Xenopus tropicalis: one gene and its partner. The protein of the gene in region 1 interacts with the protein of each later gene in a biochemical or structural test. Links are inferred from orthologs where the notes say so. Each region holds a gene or a part of one and is shown on either strand. Other genes may lie near its edges. The genes, in order: clint1 and ap2b1.

What was found.
Region 2: the proteins of clint1 (region 1) and ap2b1 form a complex in vitro, tested with the Homo sapiens proteins (2 studies listed by BioGRID and IntAct, with this or other methods). The link is inferred for Xenopus tropicalis from reciprocal best matches to the Homo sapiens genes CLINT1 and AP2B1.

What each region holds. Positions count from the first base shown.
Region 1 is NC_030679.2:13,974,336-13,978,159, reverse strand, and holds part of clint1 (clathrin interactor 1), read right to left. Parts: intron 2,248-3,824; coding exon 2,070-2,247; intron 1,828-2,069; coding exon 1,584-1,827; intron 1,275-1,583; coding exon 1,214-1,274; intron 1,021-1,213; coding exon 937-1,020; intron 40-936; coding exon 1-39. UniProt on the Homo sapiens protein: Binds to membranes enriched in phosphatidylinositol 4,5-bisphosphate (PtdIns(4,5)P2). May have a role in transport via clathrin-coated vesicles from the trans-Golgi network to endosomes. Stimulates clathrin assembly.
Region 2 is NC_030678.2:93,543,696-93,547,519, forward strand, and holds part of ap2b1 (AP-2 complex subunit beta), read left to right. Parts: intron 1-303; coding exon 304-469; intron 470-2,487; coding exon 2,488-2,586; intron 2,587-3,824. UniProt on the Homo sapiens protein: Component of the adaptor protein complex 2 (AP-2). Adaptor protein complexes function in protein transport via transport vesicles in different membrane traffic pathways.

The DNA of each region.
Region 1 (3,824 bases):
CCCAGTCTCCAAATTCTCCATTACTGCCCGATGCTGGACCTGAGGATAATGGGATAAGCAATGTAAACATGAGCAGTCCTACACTTACATAGTACTTAGCTTGTCACTTCTGAGCACATTTGCATTTTAAATTAATAATTTATTAGAATTCATGACTTTGAGTTTTTATACTTCTAATATGAATGAGTAATAAGAGTACCCCCTTTCTGTCTTGGCAGAAAGAATGTTAAAGAGGTAGTTTCATCTTTAAATTACCTTTTAGTATGATGGTGACATTGACTTAGGCTATTTGCAGTTAGTTTTTTATTCTGTATGGTTCTGCAGTTATTTAGCTTGTGTAAGCTGTTTTTTCCAGTTTGGCATTTCAGCAGCTATCTAGTTGCCAGGGTCTTATTTACCCCAGCAACGAGGTAGTGGTGTGAGCAAGAGAAAAGAATATGAATAGGAAAGGACCTGCATTGAATGATATGGAATAAAAAGTAACACTAAAAATAAAACTGTAGCCTTACAGAGAAATAGTTTTTGGCTGCTATGACCCCCCACTTAAAAGTTGGATAGAGACAGAAGAGGAAGGCAAATTTAAAAAATGATTAAAAAAATAAATAAATAATGGAAAGTTGCAAGGAACAGGGCATTCTATAACACACAAAACGTTAACGTAAAGGTGAACCACCCCTTTAAGTAACTGATGCAGAAGTGTCTCCTGGCATTTCTCTGCTCAATTCTATCACAGCACAAAACCAGCAATATTAAACATGCTACTGGAAACACTTATGTTTTGCTCCACCATATGCAAATAATTTGGAGGTGTGCTGTCATTTGCTGGAAAAGGGGGACACTCATTGACACGTGCATACAATGGACTGAAGAAGGTGCAGGATTTGTATTGAATAAACATGTCCCACTCCAGCTTCACGGTTATCAAAGTAAAATTACCTTGTGATGATGGAACCGTAGATGATACAGCAGCTGGAGAGGTAAAATCTGCAAACTCACCGAATGGATCAGAACCTGTGGAACCTTGGTAAATAATTAGCATTAGCAGTGGAGCATCATAAACACACCAAACATACATCTACATTCAAGGGGCCCATATCCAAGTACGCAGAATGACCTTATATTCTTCCTGTACTGCACTTAACCCAGAGAGAATGTTGTGCCCTTTGTTAAAAAAAACAAAAAACCCCGAAACATCCCCTTGTAACAACATTACCTGATTTCTGTCCTGAGTTGAACAAAAGATCGACAAGATCGTTTGAAGATTTGCTGGTAGGCTACAAAAAGAGAAATGAGATAGGTAAAAATTTCCTCTTTTGTGTCCCCAATACAATAAAACTTTATCAAAGGGGACAGGGCTGAGAGAGAATAGAGAAGATGCTAACAGAATGACATGTGGAGCTTCAGGGTTTTTAAGACCTACCAAACAGACTTCTAAAAAAGCAATTAGTAAAAACTCCTTATTTACACAGGTATGAAAAGGCCCCTCCCATAAATATATATCGCTTTGCAAAAGCCACCATAATGCATTGAAGGGTGTGTGCTATATAAGCCTGCACTGAGGTCTTGCAATTTAAGCAAGTCACCTTGATGGTGGACGCTTGATTCTGGTTTGAGGAGGTAAGCTCAGGACTTTCTTGGTCTCCGGTATAGTGAGCAGCAGCACCCAAGTCAATAGTCTTGGAGGGGTTGGCTGAACGTTTGTGGCGAGTAGTGGTGGTCTCTGTAGCCTGAGTGATGTGGATGTGTTTGGTGGTGACTGTTTCCTCCTCATCTTTAAACTCTCCAGATTTTTTTGCTCGGTTCTGTTTTCTTTCTTCTTCGCTGTCACTAAGATATAAGAAGTCATAGGAGAATTCTTAACACCTCTCTTAGACATGAAGCCAAATCCTCTTTAGCACTCATAATTCATAACTAGAGGTCGCCTTGGAGAGGATCACATGTGGTCTTCCAAAGAATTATTTTGCGCCCAAAGCCACCTCAAAGGCTTCACACACTTCAGTGTAGGACATCACTGTTTAATACAATCTGGCCCTTGCACATGTAGCCTTGCATAAGATCCGGTCACTTACCTTCCTCTCTCTGGGGAATCTTCCCTGTCTTTCCTTCTGAACTTGTTAATAGTGTCATCTATGGTGCTTCCAATTTTGTCACCTATTTCGCCCAGCTTGTCGCTGAATGGAAAACCTGTCTTACTTTTGTCCCAGTCCTCGTCCCACTTAGATTTGGGCTCAGAGTCATAGTGATCATCTGCAGCATGGACACAAAGAAGACATCAAGCACAGACACAATTTCATTTCTACAAAGGGAAAGACTTGTAAGAGTGTAAAATAGTCAGGTGCTAGAAATCATACTGCCTCAGTGGAGGACTAAAGATATCACCAGATAAGAACAGGGAAGGGCAGGGAAGTGAGGAATGGAGGGAAGGAAGGAAATAAGGAAGTGATGAAGGAATGGAGGGATAAAAGAATGCAAGGTCAAAAAAGATGAAGGAAAGGAAGGAGAAGAACAGAAAGAGAAGAAAGAAGGAAGGAATGCGATGGCGGAAAGAAAGGTGATGAAGGAAAGTAAGAAGGGAAGGAATAAGAAGAGGAAAAATAAAAATAAATGGAAGAAAGTAAGAGAAGGAAGCAAGAAAGTTATAAAGAAATAAAAGAAGCAGAAGTTGGAGCAGGAATGGGGTGGAAGAAAGAAAGGACAAGGTAGGGGACGGTGGAAGACAGAAAGGGATGGAAGAAAAGCACTAGGAAAAAAATGAAAGCTGAGATTATTAATGTATATAAATAGCCTGCAGAGTACTGCAGAGCCTATGGGCAGAAAAGAGATAATGAATAGAATAACTGAATCACAGAGGCCATTAAGGCACAAGTCCATAATTACAGGTTGCCCAAATTCAAGCAAACATCAAGACACACACGTAAATCCAAAAATATCAACAAAGCAGGAAGCAGCACAATAAGGTGCAGATGCAGTAACCCGTGTCCATACTGCACAGGCAGCGAGGAGGTCAGAAGCAGCAGAGCGAGATAGCAGAAGCTAACAAGGACCACACTGCAAGGAGAGATGTAGGGCCCAGAGAGGCCTGCCAAGTATAATCTAACTGGCTGCATCATCCATTAAAGTACAAATTTCTATGGCTTCTTCATAAATAGGGGCACGGCAAGTTTCCTTCCTACTCTTTGGCAACTACCATTTATTTTGGGAGGGGTTGGACAAAAGCTGGCTTGTTTTAGAACAGGGTTTTCCAACCTTTTTTACCTGTGAGACACATTCAAACTGGGGAGCAACACAAGCATAAAAAAAAGTTCCCGGGGGTGCCACATAAGGGCTGTGATTCGCTATTTGGTAGCCTGTGTGGACTGGCAGCCTAGAGGAAGCTCTGTTGACAGCACACCTGGTTTCTGAGCAAACAAAACATACCTCCAAGCCAGGAATTCAAAAGTAAGCATCTGCTTTGAGGCCACTGGGAGTAACAGCCAAGGGGTTGGTGAGCAACTTGTTGCTCCTGAGCCACTGGTTGGGGATCACTGTTTTAGAAGGCTGTGATGCAAATACTCAGTACCAGCGCAAAGAAAAGATGTCTGTGTATTTCCATTTAACACAGTGGGATTAAAGGCCGCATAGGAATGCAGGCACCCAGCAGGACATTCCTGACAGAGGCAATGCCAGATTTATGCATGTAGAGGTATAGGCTTTAGATGAAGTGGTACAGTGACAGCCAAAAATAATGATGTCTGTAAAGGCCCACTGTGTGTTCCTTTTCAAGAACCTACACACTAGGAATACTAAAGGGTGGAGGTGAACCAGTTTGACCTTCAGTAGGTATA
Region 2 (3,824 bases), on another chromosome or scaffold:
CTGACATTATCTTCAGATGACCCACAAGGATTTTAATTGACATTAAGTGAAAGGTTTGCCCATCAGTATTTTCTAATTGATTTTATAAAACTGTTTTGCTGATATTAGCATTTCAAGCACTGCCAGGTACATTACTTATGTACCTAAAAGTGTGCAGTTACAACATTCCATAATATGGGTGCTGGGGTTTGCTTAAAGTGTTTCCCTTTTTACAAATGACTTCCACTGAAATTAAGAACCTTCCTTAAAAATTTCCTTAAAATTAAGGACCTTGAAATGCTACCTTATCTATGTTTTTCCCAGGTATGAAAGTATAATTGCCACACTGTGTGAGAATCTGGATTCCTTGGATGAGCCAGATGCCCGTGGTGCCATGATCTGGATTGTTGGTGAATATGCAGAACGTATTGACAATGCTGATGAACTACTGGAGAGCTTCTTGGAGGGATTTCACGATGAGAGTACACAGGTAATTTTTGGGGGCTGGCCATTTAAAGCCCTAGTGGCCAAATATGATTTTTCTAAGGTGAGACTGCTTCTATGGAGGGTAATACTGTAGATGCTATGGTTCAAGACAATTTTAACTCAGGCATCTAATTATTACTATTGCATTTTTATCACTAAATCCATGATCTTTAGATTTGCCAAATAAAAAATTAAAAGTTCAGTTGTTTGCTTTTTTCCCCCTCTAAGTTTATTATATCGGTAACAGGTGAGATACGGTTGGGTTACTGGGGCATATTTATTAACACTGGGCAGATTTGGCTGGGGGCAGTAACCTTTAGCAACCAGTCAGCGATTGGCTTTTTTTTTAGCCAGCTGCAGGTAAAACAATGAACCCAACATTTTGATTGGTTGCCATGGGTTACTGCCAATGGGCAAATTTGCCCAGTGTTGATAAATGACCCCTAACGATCTTTGTTTCTGTTGCTACTCAGCCCAGTAGGATTTAACAACAAACTTACTTTTAAAAGAAACATGAGGAAAAGTACTATGGCAAACATGACACTGTTGTAGTGGCGTTTTCAGCCCTTAAATGGCCCCTAAAGTGCTTTTTGGCTGAAAACCACCATTACCAAAGCTGTCATATAGTTCCCATTAAAATGTTATCATTTTTAGGCCTATGGCACATGTAAAATATGCTCTTTGGTCATATTCAGTTTCTAGTCCTGTCAGTGTGCACAGATGTGGAGGGAGTCAGTGTTCTTTACACCAGTGGAGAAAAAGTCCTTATGGCCCTCTGCCCAGTATGTGTGTGCACTGCCAATGTACATACAGAAGTTTTCAGCTAGAAAATGCTCATGTGTGCATATTGTGCCCAAGGTCTGTTCTGTGTGCAGTAACAGTCAGAATCCTTGCTATTCACACACATAAGGGGTAAAGGGGCACTGAATCGTCAAAATGCCATGCAGAGAAAATCCCATATGTGCCATAAGCTTTTAAACAAGAGGATGGTTAATGATCAGTGCTGGAGGTACTTTCAGAATAGGTTTTATTAAATGCCTGTACATCTTCCAAATGCAATGCACAATAATACAATTGTTTCAGATTAGATTGTGTGCAAGAAAAGGATTATGGCTTGTCGTGGGAGTAATTTAACTGTAAGTTAGTGAAGCAGATCATAACAGAGATTTATTAGTCAGCCCTTTCTGCTTCATCATTAGAACGCAATTGACATGATTGTTCAAGCAGTCATGGAAATGAAGATGTGATTTATTAAGTGGTAATAAGCTATGCAGAGGCAATTTAATAAGAGATCTCTAACAGTTTTGAACTGTACTGTATTAATGCAATGATTCCTTTCCTATGAAGGATAACATATGGTTCATATAACTTTGGTGTAAAAAAAAAAAAAAAAAAAACATTTGGATTGGGTGCTAAACTGTACTTACAGTAGGGCCTGAATACCTCTATAGGGTTGTTATGAAGTATGCACTATTTACTGCATGTCATTGGGGTAAATTAATTTCATGTTTGTCATAAGGATCAGTATTGGTTTTAGGTGCTGAAGTTTAAACTAAAATCGCTCCTCAGCATTTTGGTGCACAGGAATTTTCTTCTTAAAAAGTCAACACACTGGGGGTCATTTGTCAACATTGGTTAATCACTGATTGGTTGGTATGGGTAACTCAAACGTGCAAATTTGCCCAGTATTGATAAATGGCTTCTAGTACTGTTAGCATCTTTTAAAAGATGTAAGGGTTAAATAAACCCAGTAGGATTGTTTTGCTTCTATCGAGGATTAATCACATCTTAGTTTAGAACAAGGAATTGTTTTATTATTACAGAGAAAAAGGAAATCATTTTTAAAAATTGTAATTATTTGATTAAAATGGAGTCTATTGGCGGTGGCCTTCCCGTAATTTGGAGCTTTCTGGATAACACATTTCCAGGTTAGGGATCCCATACCTGTATTTAAAATATAGATGTTCAAAAACTGTACTCATGTTTATTCTCATTTATATGTTTTCCTTCTTTGGCTTTTAGGTTCAACTTACTCTACTTACGGCTATTGTCAAACTCTTTCTGAAGAAGCCATCAGAAACCCAAGAGCTGGTTCAACAAGTTCTCAGCCTGGCTACACAGGTATTGATAAGTTAACATTGGAAAATAGGAATATAGTTGTTAGCCCTTTTTTTAAAAAAATATCTGCTTCATACTGCTTCCAGTAGGCTTTCTAGTCTCTTGTATTATCCAACTTCTCCAGCAGAATCCTGCATTTAAATTCGTTTTTCAGAAACTGATTTTTTTTATATTTAAAATTTCACATGGTGCTAGCCATATTCTTCATTTTCCAGGGTCCCAGATATGTGACCTGTGCTCTGACTTCAGTCACACTTTGCTGCTGAGCTGCAAGTTGGAGTGATATCAACCTCTCCCTGTAATGACAATAAAGTTGAATCTAATATAATCTAATGTATTCTCCCAAACCATGAAATAGATTATTTTGACCCATCCTTTTTTAGTTTGGCAACAGTCTTGCGATAATCAACTTTGTACACAGTTGTAAATTAATTGGAGATATAGACACAATACCTAATTAGAAGTTTCTTCCAAAGGAAGTTTGCTAGAACATCTTTTACTCGCTGAACTTTGGGCGATTCGTCTGCTTGTACAGAATCAGCCTGTCAGGCACACACACACAGCGTGCACAAAAATAGATACTTTGCCGTCTCTGCAGCAAAATTTGCTCTGTCAGACACATGTCTGTTAGTTCTACTAAGGTTCTACTGCAGGGGAAAATAGCAATGGCTATAATGGGCACCCTTTCTGTGTGCCTGTGTGTGGATTTGTTTATTAGTACTTTTTATTCTAAAAATCACACTAGGACTCATTTACCAAGCTGGGCAAAAATCCATGCCAACCAATCAAATGTTTGCTTTCATTGTTTAACTTGCCACTAGATGGAAACATTGGTTTTGCTATGGGTTACTGTCCAGGTGCACATTTGTCCAGTGTTAATAAATGAGTCCCACTGTGTTTCACAAAACCATTTTAGTGTTTTTCTTTACTTTGAATTTGGGGCTTTTGAGACACTATCAAGAATTTTCTACAACTGGGTCACTTTAATCTGTTGTCAGTAACAGAACATAGAATAAGTCTATTGTCAGAGGCTAGACAGTGACATATTCAGAACAAAGCAGATTGTGTTTAAGTATTCCTAGAAGTGCTGTTTTTTATTATTATTTATGAAAAAAATCCATTCACAAAGCTCAGTGCTAGCTTCCTGAGGACTATAATGTATACTTTCAAATGTCATGGTTATATTTAAGGGTTGAAGAATATTTTAAGTGACTTTTTGTGTTCATAAATTTTTCTTCCAT